Drosophila melanogaster: one gene and its partner. Changing the gene in region 1 together with any one later gene gives a genetic interaction. Each region holds a gene or a part of one and is shown on either strand. Other genes may lie near its edges.

What was found. A genetic interaction does not mean that the proteins touch.
Region 2: of Syt4 (region 1) and Syx4, changing one enhances a phenotype caused by changing the other (phenotypic enhancement), as found in Drosophila melanogaster (one study listed by BioGRID).

Annotation. Positions count from the first base shown.
Region 1 is NT_033777.3:7,264,441-7,271,339, reverse strand, and holds Syt4 (synaptotagmin 4), read right to left. Parts: upstream 5,276-6,899; 5' UTR 5,152-5,275; intron 4,545-5,151; 5' UTR 4,488-4,544; coding exon 4,445-4,487; intron 3,672-4,444; coding exon 2,485-3,671; intron 2,286-2,484; coding exon 2,211-2,285; intron 2,148-2,210; coding exon 2,028-2,147; 3' UTR 531-2,027; downstream 1-530.
Region 2 is NC_004354.4:2,738,577-2,746,062, forward strand, and holds Syx4 (syntaxin 4), read right to left. Parts: upstream 5,501-7,486; 5' UTR 4,908-5,500; coding exon 4,875-4,907; intron 4,383-4,874; exon of another isoform or gene 4,341-4,382; intron 4,222-4,340; coding exon 3,985-4,221; intron 3,416-3,984; coding exon 3,322-3,415; intron 3,256-3,321; coding exon 3,013-3,255; intron 2,921-3,012; coding exon 2,847-2,920; intron 2,669-2,846; exon of another isoform or gene 2,581-2,668; intron 2,429-2,580; exon of another isoform or gene 2,229-2,428; intron 1,896-2,228; exon of another isoform or gene 1,808-1,895; intron 970-1,807; coding exon 721-969; intron 657-720; coding exon 585-656; 3' UTR 513-584; downstream 1-512. UniProt on the Drosophila melanogaster protein: Potentially involved in docking of synaptic vesicles at presynaptic active zones.

The DNA of each region.
Region 1 (6,899 bases):
TAGTTGTTATACTAGGACAGCATCTAACGTGAACATACTCAAACTCAACCAATTGAGTTTCATAGCAAATACAACTTACATACAGTTCCCTTTGAGGTCTTCGTACTCATTCTTTAGATTTGCATCATGCAAGCACTCGAACTTATTTTCATCGCTTCCATCCCAACAGTCGATCTTTCTATCGCAATTTAGAGTTCCATTTAAACACCCACCATAAAAACCCTCCTCATCGCAGACCTTGCTATAGCATAATTCGAACCTTTGATCTGGCCGATCGGAACTTTCATCTGGCAAACAATTGCCAATTATTGTTTTTAGTATTAGACTTCAAGGCAAGCGACCCATCTAATAGTAAGGAAAGCAGAAATGTGCAATCCAATGATATAATAGGTATCTGTTAGTCTGTACTCTTTTGTATAAGCAAGAATCTCCTCTTATCAGTGCTTTAAACTCTGTTAACTATAGTATACTCACAGAATTAAGAGAGCTGATAAGACACGTATTAATGCAAATAATTCGCAGTGCACATTGTTTTATATAATACCTTTTATTACTGAAATTAACCATTTGATGTAGCTTACAATTACAATTACATATAATGTAGAATTATACACATCTCATATAATTTGGGTTCCTCTGCACAAACTCTTTGCATATGTATTGGTAATTATTGTTTTTCCATTAGACGAATTGAAGTTTTGATTGGACACGAATTGAAGTTGTATCTGCGATTCTCGCGAATCGCTATGTATGCTTGTATATATCCTTATGGTTGTATGCACGTAGTTATTCAATGAAGTTTAATGCTCTAACACTCAGTTTACAAAATATACGTAGAAGCGGGCTGATGTCTATATAGATCTGGTATAGTTTATAATTGTATTCAGTACACTTAATATCAGTAGTGGATAATGATTCGGTGTCTTCGTTAAGCTATGCTTTCATCGGGGTCTCCTCCATCCGTTGCCTTTAAAGGTAGTGCCGCTAGATACACCTGTAGTGCTTATTGCGTTCGGTTTGAGCTATTCGTGAGTGGTTATACTCTAGAGTATGTTATTGGTAATTGATTCCTACATGTACTATGCTGCTTACATTATTGTATTGTGTTGGTTTCCTCTCCGAATCAATGTTTTCTGACTTTTTCGATCGATTTGTGTGTGGTTTTGTAGCTTCTTGGTGCTAAGCATTCTGCTGCGTGTTCTCTCTAGATTCAATTTGGTTTAGTTTTATTTGTTTCATTAGTTTTAGTTATTTGTTTTTATTTTTAAGAGTACGTATAAAGTGTTAAGCAGTAAGCATCTATCTTTGCTTCGTTCTGGACAAAACTTTAAGAGCTTCCGGGGTGTGCAAATTTGATGTCTTGTATCCATTAAAGCGATGGTATACTTTAGGTCTTTACAATCAAACTAAAATATTCAAATAATTAAAATTAAATTGTACAGACATATGTATGCTTAAACGTTAGATATCATAAATATTTTATACAGATGTATGGTTAATAATATATCTTTTGAGGAAATCAACTTCAGTGGTGGGCACATTAAATATAACTTCAACTATTTGATATGAAAATCATACATGAATATATAGCAACAAAGTCGGTGTCAGTTTAAAATATATTGAGAATTCCCCTGCCTTGCTTATTCTCATATTTAAACATGTCTATATTGAGATGTTTCTGAATTATCTTACACTTACATGCACTTTTAGGGTCCTAAACATTTTCTAATACATTTAATTTAGTTAGTGGTTGCTTGGTAAATATTTCTTTTCTGCTTGTGGCGTTAACGGCCAATTATCTCGCATTAATCTTGCTTCAAACTCAAAGCAAGTGATCTCCCAGAAATCAAGTGAAATATAAAGTAGAAAGTAGAAAATAAACTCAATCAATATGCAATCATATGCCAAAAACCAAAGAGAAATTCATGGTGGCAACGAGGTCACATGACTCCCATTTCGGTTGCCTGCTCCTGCTCCCTTCCCCCTCATTAAGGGGCGCCTGCGCCCAGGAGGTTCCTGCCCCTCCCCTACTCGTTCAGCTTGTGCCACTCGGCGATCTGGCGGCGCGGCGAGTTGCAAACCTCGTTCCAGTGGTTCAAGGCGGTGCTGCTCGAGTTCGGGCCGCCCAGCTCCAGCCGACCGATGACCTGTGGAAATATCGAGCGTGCAATTATCCAGCTATTGGCATTAGGTCATCCCATGCGACTTACCTCATTCTTGGTCACGCGATCCCAGTCGAGCAGCATCAGTTCCAAAGACACACCCTCAAGACTGGCGCCAGCGCCCTGTAATTGAGATATGCACGTTAACTTATGATTCTTTAAAATTATTATAAAAGCTTTTCAAAAATAGTCCGTCCATGTTTAAGTTCTATGATAATTATACGAACACAAGAAAACAATTAACAATTAATCTATGCTAGGTAATTGATATGGTGTTTCGTTAAACTACAAACAAATAGTAAATGAATATACTATTACTCACTTCGGCGGCGGGAATATCGAATGCGAAGCTCTCGTTGAAAACGGGGCTCAGAGTTCGTTTCTTCACGTGCGTCTTCTTCTTGGCGATGCGTTGGCCATTGTAGAGGAGATATATCTTAACATACGGATCGGCCAGTCCGGTGACATCCATGCGCGGTAAGTTTCGGGCCTTCAGCAAGACGACGGTGAGGCGACCGGCAGCTGGTTGCCAGCAGAGGGAGATGAGCAGCTCCCCGCGACCCTGGGCTCGAATCTTCAAGCTCCGTGGCTGGATCTCTTTGCTGATGGACAAAGCCTCTTTGGAGATGTCCCCGATCTCGATGGAGGTCAATGGGCACACCACTTCGCCAATGACGTCGTCACGTGAGTATCGATCGAAGCTGAGGATGACAAAGTGCAGCGACATGTTCTGCAGGTCGTTCATGTTCAGGCCGTAGAAGGTGAAGTCCTCGTCGTAAACCGGGTTCCGGGTATTTCGCACCACCCGGGTCTTGACCTTGTGCTGCTTGTCCGGCAGCAGCTGCAGCTTGACATACGGATCCGTTGCCGCCTGAGTGCGTCCATTCATGCCAGTGGGAATATCTCCGGTTCCGCTCGATCCTCCCTTGCAGGGGAGTCCGCGACAACGGATGATGGACACCATAAGGGCGTTCCTTTCGGCCAAGTAGCGCAGCTTAAAATAGATGGTACCCAGCTTGCCGTACTGGTCGGTCACGGTCAGCTCCTTCCCGTTGGTCAGCGAATGGTCGTCCAGGGTAATGGTCACACTTCCGTTGGCGATCGTCTCTACCGGCGAGTGGTGAAGGCTGTTGTGCAGCGAGTGCTTCAACCCATTACCATCCACCACGGTCAGTTGATTGCCATTCTGCTGCTCCGCATGCTGGGCGGGTCCATCTCCCTCCTCGCTGTACTTGACATTCGGTTGCGCAATCGGGGAGGTGGACTGGTCCTGCATCGGCGACAGCAGTCCCATCTGCTTGCCTCCCGTCGGCGAGGGCGACTTCTTCAAGTAGTGCGGCGGCTGGCCGCTGGGCGATCGAACGGCGGTCGGTCGCCGGGTCGGCTGGAAGGGGAACGAGGCGTCGTGCTGGCTCTGTTTCTTGTTCCGGAGGCGCATCTGCCGGGCGCAGATGCAGGCCACTGACGAGAGGACAGCAGCCGCAGTCAGTCCCAGGATGGCGGGGACAACTGAAAGGACAACAGGTATGTTAGGCAACATATGCATAGTTTAGTTGTACCCAAAACGTTGTCTTCGATTGAAATATGTGCAAGGTGGTGATGGGACAATGTCACTAGTGTAACCTTAAAGCCATAAACAAAAGTAAAATTTACTCGTATTGTGTTGGAAGTTTTGAAAAACCCACTGTTAACTAGCACTAGCACCCCATTCCAGATTACATATATAGACGCTCAATATGCAATCTCAAAATTATATAATGGGATAATTAAAAGAATTTAAAACATAATAGAAAATTATATAGAACATTTTATCATTATAAATCTAATACCGAATATTAAATTTAAATATCCAATAATAACAAAAAGCGTTTTATTTTCTATCTTTTACTAATATCCGAAAACACAAAAGAAAACGTTTAATCACACTTTTGAATATGTTCTGTAATTAGTCACCGAAATGAAAAAATAGAAAGAACTTTTCTCCCTAACACAGCTGTGAGTTGTTTGTAGACTTCCTTTGTTATTAGAACATTAACTTTCGCCAATTCGTTTTGAGCTTATACATTTCACCCCAAATAAAAGAGCACAACAAATAACACATGTGCACGTATCCCCTTCGAAACCTGACAATCCAGGCACAAAGACCCGAATTAATTATTCATAGCCACCGAAAAAGTTTGGCACAACTTGTGTGCAACATTTTGAACAAGTTGCTAATGAGCAAATTGGACTGATCGACCACTAAGGTCGCATTGGATGCTGCAATATGGTATGGTACTTACTCGTGTCCATGACGCTGGCATCTGGGATATACTCTTCGGCCATTTTAAATGGATTTGGCTTAGCCGCTCTCAGCACGTTTCCACTCGATGTTCCTGGCGGCTGTGTGGAATAACAATTAGTCACGGTTTAAAAGTGAGGAGGAAAAGTTTTGCTGGCTGTCTTTGGATGTTTGCAACTTTCGGTGGCACGTGAAGAATTGCGTGCTTCGATTTTGCGCACAAATGTATGCTAGAGGCTTTTTCGTGAGCAGCAGCTGCCTGCTTTCTGCTCAGGTTATGCTGACGTTTGGCTTTTGTTGTTATTTGCATTACTTGAGGACACCCACTCAGGCACACTTTCTGGCAAGAGAGCGGGAGAGACACACACACACACACACACATATGAGCCACTTGGGTGCTCTTCTAGGGTCGCATGAATCATCGCAGCCCTTGCACACACGCACACGAAGTTTGCAGGTTTTTCAACTTCTGGAAACCATTTTTAATGGGAAGTCCCACATTTAGAAATGTTCCTTTCTTTCATTTAGGTCTTCGTAACGTTTTGAAAATATTCCCTTTTACTATCACTTCCAGTATCTGTATCTATTGTTTATTGCAGCATCAGAGATTCTCGGAAAAGCCATAGTAGCCACTTGATAGTTTTTACGTTTTCCTCGTAATCCTGTTTACGCCTACATTTTACTTGCTTGAATGTATTATAGCCTTACTTTTTTGTATCTGGTCCTGCACAATTAATATCCAAAAATTGTAATATTTTTCACATCCACAAATTGTGGAAAAAAAATCAACAACGCAGTTCTGCAGCCGTTCGACTTTATTTTGCCAGTGGCTTCTTAACTTGGCTGGGAAATCGTTAAACTCGCGCAGGCGCACGAGCAAGCAGCTTTTTGTGTGGGTTGTTTAGCCGAAAGCGGTGGTTGAAGAAACCTGTGACGTCTTAGCCGAAGTCAGGGGTGCTTAAAGAAAGTTTTACAACACTAGACCATATTCATGAGTAAAGGGTTGAGTAATAAAATACATAAAAAGTTATAAAAAGGTAAAATTTAGACCAATTTAGACCTACTCATTGCAAACACTCAAAAGCTCCCGGTTCAGACCAAGTTTCAGAGAGCGCAGCTTTGCGGCCAGCTTTAAGCTGTCTTTCGTTGAGTTCGAGCTTTTCGTCAGTTTAAAAAGACTGGCGCCTGCTGGTCAGAAGCTGAGTCGGTAACGGTCTGCGTCTGCGCGCAGTTCGAACAAGTTGAGAAAGAGACCAACAGAAAGCCCATCCAAGTGCAGTGATCAATACGGGTAACTGACAAAAACCCTAGAAGTCAGGGCTTAAAAACGATTTTGCAGCGCTGCCAGTGTTTTTGTGTGATAAAAAAAAGCGGCTCAGAAAAACTTGCTGACAGCAGATAGCACACACGTTTTTGTCGTCTTCGGGCCATTGAAAAATTTTCCCGAGGCATTTTCTATAAGGAATAAACAATTAATTCAATATTTAAAGCATAAAAGGAAACTAGACACCACATCACCGGACTCTACGATCGTAAGTTGATGCAATCGTCTTTATTTCTATTATTTGCTGCCTTTTCGGTTTTTGCACAACCCCAAAATCCAAAAATTCGCGATGTCCGTTTCTGGCATTGAGGAATCTCAAAAGATTTGGACAGCTTTTTGGCCCGAAGTCTGCTGGAAATTTGCCATTGTCATAAGCCCAAGAAACGGAATTTTGTTCGGTCTTCTGATGGCTCACGGCGATAAATTTACTGCACTTTGTTTGCAATAGCTCCAATTCGATTCGTTTGTTTTTCTGGCACAGAGCACAGTATGCCTCACGATTTCTGCTCTAGACACGTTTCTAATTTAGTTACTGGTTTATATTTCTTTTTCCACACATATCAAAAACGGTCACCCATTGTCTGCCATTTGACCACTAATCTGTTCGATTTTGTGCTCAATTACCCAGGGTATTATTCGAATGAAAAAGTGCCCACATTTAGGTGTTTTACGATACCAGCCAGTTCATTAAACGTCCATTGCAGTATTAGGAAATTAGCCCGGTTTCTCACCCGATTCCACCGCTTATTAGCCACCACCTCATTTTGACGGAATGAGTCGTATTGTAAAAGACAAACTACTTGCGCTTATTTATGTTGAGCACATTTCTTTCGATCCCAATTTCCGTTTGGTGCTAGCTTTGAAACCGACATATTCAGGCTAATAAGCCTACTTTTTTTTCATAAATTACGTTTGAGTCAGTATTATTTCTTATTTCAAACGATATTTCTATTAATATAAACAGAGGAGAAATATTTATAATCAATGATTAGTCATGACAAATATCAAAATCCCCAACAAATTAGTAACACCTTTCCTTTTAAATGAAATGAGCTGATATACACAATTTCAACGGAATCTCTAAAATATATAATCATTATAGTAAACATTACAGTCATGAAGAGGGTAGCAA
Region 2 (7,486 bases), on another chromosome or scaffold:
TTGGTATTGTCGCTGAACCGCGCGCCCGGGCTAATCCACTACCGACCAGAAATGATCTCGAAGGCTTTCCCAAGCTCCGACGTGCACTCACCTACAAATCAGACATGGAAAATCGGTGCCAAACGACTATATAAAAAACTTATTAACGAGACGCCAGGGATGTTGATGTTGGCCAACAGTGTGGTATCAACAGTGCAGTGTGTGCTGTTAGGCGCGAAGTGGTTGCTGTTAAGTTGTTTTGTTTACCCGCAGCGATGCCCGCTCGGTTGTTTTACAGCCGCCAATGGCTAGTTCTAGCCGCAGCTTTCGTTTCCTGGCTGCTTTCCAGCTAAATGCGTACCCTTTGAACTAACCGTTATCTTATTTACATATTAAATTTAATAAAAATATACAAAATCCACACGAAACAAACAAACTAATGATTTAAAGGGACTCAGAATAGAGCACGCTCTCAATAGCATAAGCTTTTATTGATTTCCTTTACCTGTTGATTAATTGCAAAAATTCTTCTTGAGGTTTTAAAGTTTATTTTCTTACGTATAAATTTTAAAAATAGGCCAAAAAAATAAAGTTTCTCGCGTGCATCACAAATAAATACCAACAAGGAGTAATACTAGCAACACGGCTGCGAGTATCACGATGAGCATTATCTTTTTCTGCAAATACAAGGGAAAATGCCTTTTAGAACCCAACGCTCTCGGGGATTCGCAGTGTGCCCACCTTGCGCGCCTTCTTCTGGTGCTGCTCCGCCTGGTCCAGCTCGTCGGCGCCCTTGTCCACGTGGAGCGTGGCCTGCTGGGCGTGAAACTCCACCCGCTGGATCACCTCGCTCTGCTCCATTACCAGGGTCTGGATGCGCATGAACAGGGCGTGCACCTCCTCGATGGACTTCTCCAGGCGGCGCAGCTCGTTGAATCGATCCATCATTTCGCGCAGTGTCTGCCGCTCCTTTTCCGTTTCCTGCAGAAACTAAAAATACAAAAATTGTTATTATAAAGATTAAGCAAATGTCTACATTTATTTACTATTTGCAATACAAATACCTTTTGATCTTTACATTTTGTGTTAAATTGAAGGTTAATTAACAGAGAATGTTAGAAAGGGCGGGTGAAGATCTTATTTTATTGATTTACCGTTGGTCCTTGATCGTTTTCTCTTCAAGTCTTCCTCTTCCCTTTTTCTCAGCCACATCCAAATACGCACGTGATTTTTAATTGTGCGTCGCGAAATGAGGTTTGTTGTATTTAACATGGTTTAGATGTAAATGTAAGTATCGGCATTGTGATACGAAGCATTTGCGCGCTTTTTCTTTCTAAGTTCGCGGTAATTTGGCGTTTTCAATGGCGCGCGAAATATGTTTGTGTGTATAGAATGTGCGCGCTAAAATCCGCATTTACATATGTATGTATGAACATACACAATGTGTGTGTTGCGCTAAATAAGCTTCCACTTTTTTTTTATGGTGAACCACTGAGTTTCTATTATATATATAAATATGTATAGCTTAGCTATACGGCTAATGTAATTAATCTATGTACGTGATAATCTGTATTGCAGAACATAATGCTTTATTTAACATCCTCATTAACTAATAGATGATGTTAAAACAACAGCGGCAAACAGAGAGAGTGCATATGAGTTTGATTTACCGTTGGCCCTTGATCATTCCCTGTTTAAATCTTCCTCATTCCTTCTTCTTCCCGAGCATCGACATACGCACGTGTTTTTTAACTGCGCGCCGCGAAATAAAGTTTATTGAATTCAACGATCTTTAGATGGTGAAAAGTGTTACTTGAGTAAATGCGAGTATGCGCATTGTGATGCGAAGCATTTGCGCGTTTTTCTTCCTAAATTCGCTGTAATTTTGCGTTTTCAATGGCGCGCGAAATATGTTTGTATGTATAGAATGTGTGTGCTAACATCTATTTACACATGTATGTAATGTAATGTGTGTGTTGCGGTAAATTAGCTTCCACTTCTTTTTTTATATTTTTTGATGGTGAACCACTGAGTTTGAAAATATATTCTATTCAATATAAAAATGTATAGCCTAACCACTCAACCAATATAATTAATCAACGTATGTGATAATCTGTATTGCAGAACATAATGCCTTATTTAACAGCCTCATTAACTAATAGATGATGTTAATACAACAGCGGGAAACAGAGAGAGTATGTATGAGTTTGATTTACCGTTGGCCCTTGATCATTCCCTGTTTAAACTTCCTCTTTCCTTCTTCTTCGTGAGCATCGACATACGCACGTGTTTTTTAACTGCGCACCGCGAAATTAAGTTTATTGAATTTACCGTTGTTTAGTGCTGTTACTCGAGTAAATGCGAGTATAGGCATTGTGATACGAAGCATTTTTTTTCCTAAATTCGCGGTAATTTTGCGTTTGAGCAAAATAATTTCATACATATGTATGTATGTATGAAGGTGTGTGGGTGTTACACCAAATGAGCTTCAGTGTTTTTTTTTTCATTTTTTTTATGGTGTTCCAGTGTTGAAAAAGTTGCGAAAGTGATTATATCCTATTAGCTATTAAAATCCCAAATTTTTTTTTTTTCTGTGTAAAGCTTTACTTAAAGTGATATGAAAATGATCGTCTCGCAAATTATAGATGCGATAAAGTCAAATGAAATGAAAAATGAATACAACATCGAGGTGAGTTGCGCTCTACTGAGTAATATTTAGTAGCTAATAGTCCTAGATTGTATAAAATGTCATTTAAACTACATACTAAATGCCGAACATATTAAAATATATATGTTTATGAAACCTTTGATAAGGAATCATATCAGACAGAAGACTTAGTTGTTTGTATAATTCTTTCTTTACTCACATTATCCACAAAGAGTTTGGTTGTCTTGTTCTCGATGAGTAACTCGATTTCTTGTTCGCTGGCTTCAGAATTAACTAAAAAGTAGATTGTAACGAAGTTCTTAAACAAAATAATGTAATAGTTGCAAAGCATTTAATCAGACTCGTCCATTTTGTATCACACTTACTGATTTTTGTATGCAGTCTCAGATTCTTTTTGACCTTGGTCTCGTAGTTCTGCAGGAATAGTTCGTTTTTGTGCCACAGATTGATGAAAGTCTGGTGGAGTCCATAGAAAAGGGTTCTTTTCATCCTTGCCTCCAAGCTGTAATCGTTTTCCGCCGGCAGATTCGCCTTGAAGTCGTTGAATCGCGTCATTAGCTGATTGCCCAGCCTCAGGTTTTTGTTGTGAAGCTCATCCATCTCGTTCTCTGTGCGAATTGGATTTAGACCGTGATGCAGTGGAAGTATTCACAACTTTAGATTCAAATTCTTACCGTTGAAAGTTCGCAGATTGACAGTTTGGGCCATGCGGTTCATCGTCTCCAAGTTGGCGGCTATCTGTGCGAGTTGTTGGCGAATCTCCGTGTACTGAAAAGGAAGGATACCGTAAAAATCTATTAAAATCGTATATTCACTTCCATTGCATTTCCAGTACATTTCCTTGCTCAGGAGGAAGCAGTGCTTGTATTGCTTTTTTGCTTTGCAAGAGTTGTCTACCGTTGTTTACGTTTACATGGCGACTACTTGCCTTCTCTTCGTCCGCTCTCTTAACCACAATAAAAAACGTATTTAATGAGAAAATGTTTTTTTTTTTTTCTGGACTTATCACGAGTTTTCGCGCTACGCCGGCAGCGATTGAGTAATACAGCTGATTCATAAGTGCACACATGTGTGGGTAAGCCATAAAAAAGAAAAAAAGGGTTTCCCTCTCTCCGGCTCTCTGATCTTTTATTTCCATTGAGGGGAAACGTTTAACTATGCTAGATATTAGCTGCTTTCTGTTGTATGTTCTTGCTTCGCTAAGTATTTATAACTTTCAAGATAGCTATCTTAGGAGTTAAAGTTTCTTCTATTAACTATTTCAATACTCAATAATAGTAAAAACTTGTATGAATTCTGAAGTTGTGTTTTGTATACACTTCGATCCTTAAACTCACCGGATTGAGTATGTCATCCACATTCGAGCCATACTGCGTCATCTTTGAACTGGACCGATCCTTGGGTTCGGTGCTGCTGTTATTGTTGCTGCAGCTGTGAGAGTTTTGGCTAACGACACTGTAGCTATTATTGTTACCGCCGGTGTTGCCAATGATGAACTCCGTGGTTCCACTGTACACGTTCAAAAGCAGTGAACCGTTCGACGACGAGTTCGACGAGTTCGTGCTCAATGAGCGCTGGAATTAGTACAGCAAAAATGAGAAGAAAAAAAAATAAATAAATAAAAATAAAATAGGTCCATGCGATCCTAACGAACTGCAGGGAAAAACTGAGAAAAAACTAAATTGAAACTAACAACTTTGGTTGAGTTTATTTACGTTTGTGTGTTCACAATCTGGCGCGGTGTAAATGAACTATAAAAATGACTTCGGTACTGAAATTCACTTGGTGCTAAAAGTTTGTCGGCGGAAACGCGGGGTTGCCCCGTAAGTGTGATGTGTGGCCACATTATCGTCGTTATCTCTGGCCGATCTGATAAATGCCATAGCGAACACCCACCAAACCCCCTTGGCTCACAAGTCGAAATAGTGCCAAAAGCGCCAACAGAAATGTGAGAGATTGGGCCAATTGTAAAGAAGGTGGCAGCACCTTGGTCAGAATGTGTTTCAACGTGCCGCAAAAAAAAAAAAAACTTTGATTAGGATTACTTTTTACCGAGAAAAGTGGAATCCTTTTCCTGGCAAATACCACCAAATGTATTTCATCGTGTTAAGTAGATTTTATTCGTATTGCGGTTTGAGTGATGCCAAACCACTGTGCTTCAAACTAATTAGCAGTTACCTCATCCCAACCTCCCAACCAACCACCCACGTTTCTAATATTTTCTTACCTGCAAAAGCTCGGGCAGTCGATCTTTACCCATTTCTGCAACTTGGACTGCCTTTGGTTTGAATTATGCCAATTATATGCCAAATTTATGCCAATTCCTTGAATTCCTTTCCAGTACTCCAAAATGTCCACTTTATATCCTTTACAGCAGCTTCTGAGCTTTGTTCCTGGTTTGTTGTTGCCGTTGCCTCCAACAGCTGTTCGCGAATGGGAAAATTTGATTGAGAGCGCAGGAGAGAGCGAAACCTGCTATCAAAGCTTATCAGCGCACAAGTTTCTGATAAGAGCCGCCTAATATTTACCGTCTGCCCTTCGGAAAGCGACAGGGCGGGGTGGAAAGTCATGGAGAGAGAGAGAGAGAGAGAGAGGGACAGTCAGAAAGGCCTAAACACAGATTATCACCTATCACATATTTGCCATTTATTGGCGGCTCTTTGCTCTCTTACTCGCTCTTTTGTTGCACACACACACAAACACAAAAAAGAAAAAAATTGGATTATGGGAAAAACTAGCTTTATGTATTTTTAAAATTTAACATGTAAATACATTCGGCTACATTTTATTCGATTTATTGAAAATCAATTCCTTTGTCTTCACCGCGCCGCATACGTTTTCGAACTAAAAAATCGACGCCGGCACAAAAACGCAGAGCCTCCCAGTCGCGTCGAGATTTCTTTCAATTCAAAAAGATTAAAGACAGCAAACACTCTGGCTACAGCCTGGGCCAAAATAATAGGCATTTTATGGTATAAATTCATTGGGCCTAATCCAAATTCAAATTAGTTATGAAAAATTCAAAAATGTACATTAAATGCAGCAATAGAATTGTGATTTGAATATACGAAGGTATTCGATTTCATGAACTTCGGTGTATTTGATATGTACGTTCATGTGCTTTAGCTGGAGAGAGATAAAGATAGAGACTCGTACTACATTATGTGTAGTTAGTGGCGATCTACATTTTTTGTTGTCTCCGAATAAAATGAATAAATCGTCTTTGCCACCGAAATGAAAACTGGTTAGGCGGCGGAGAAAAATGTGTTAATTGTTTTTATTATTATTTCTACTCTGTTGTATGGTAAACATTTCTACATTGCTCTGCCGCCTTTTGCTGTTGTTGTCGCACTTTTCACGCTCCATGTTGCCGTTCAATTGAAATAAAAGACCGAGTAAGAGAAATAAACCTGCGACGAGAACGTTCAAAAGTCACTTGCGCTAATTAGTTGAACTTTTTTCTATTGCTGGCTTTGTACTGTGCCACCATATGCATTTACAGGGTATCAGCGGGTCGCATCTATGTAGGTCAAGGGTGTAAATTCATTGTCAAGCGTTGTACTCACCACTTTTTACAACTTGATCCCTTCAAAACGCTTGTGTAAATTATACTTCTTAAGCACAGTTCAGTTGCTTGTTTCTTCGAAAGTTTCCCATAATAAATTTATTGCTATTTTGCTTACTGGGTAGCTAGATGGTCTACCCGCTTTATATTAGCAATTCTTGCGGTTGCAAAACGAAGCTTATGAACTGCCCTCAACTACGTCAACAACAATAACAAGAAAAATAAAACCATCAACACCAGACAGTTGCGAATTTCCATTTCTCATTTGGTTCGCAATTCTTCTCAAGTTGCCATGCCATTTAAAAAGACGGCAGAAAAGAATCGTGTCGCGAATTCTTCCCTCTCTAATGATTGTATAAAAAGCATACGTATACGTGATATACTGATACTTTGAATTGAACTGCATGTAGCGCCATAAGGTTAAAACATTTAAATCGATTTGGAAATTCAATGTGGAATATGTGAATTCGCGAATACCCTTTAATACACCCTTTAAACATGAACATTTACTTTTTATTGCAAAATACCAATTAATTGAGATTGAGATAAACTGATGTTTCTGAGCTTGAACTTGTTACTTTATTTTTGCTTTATTTTTTTTTTGTTTGGCTTTTAAAATGAGTCATATAAGTCATGTTTTTTTTGTGACCCCGTCGTGGAATTCGAACCGCCAATCGCTTATCAGATACATTCGGAAGGTTTTGTGAGTTCCAATATCATTTTATTAGTCGACGATTTCTTGCCAACTCGTTATTAAGAGGCATTCAATTGCTCGAAAGTCGTGAATCCGCTTTTATTTACAAACGATCGTATAGAACTCTGACTCAATGAAGATATTGTCACTTTTGTGCTGTAAAGTTAAAAAAAAAAACTGCATAACAAAGCAAAACTCAATTTAGGTGGAGTGGCTATACAAAGCAGTTTATTTTTATCAATCCATGGGATTCATTGAGTTTAGGTAATGAGAATACAAAAAGATGAAATTCTTGTTTTTCCCGCCTTTATTTGCATTGCGGACTGTAAGTCTAAAATGTATTCCAGGTTATTATTATCTATTCACTTATTTTTTTAGTGCAAATTGTTGGCAAAACAGCAACATATTCATATTCCCTGCGTTTAACACCCGCTTTTCACCTTTTTCCATTGCTTTTCCATAAACAAAGGGGTCGGAAAAGCGGAGATATTGTTATAGGCAGTCAAGTTTATTGTGCCCGTTTTTTGTTAGTTTTCTCGGCTTTCGCGCTTTCCTTTGTTTACAATTTATTTTGTCATGT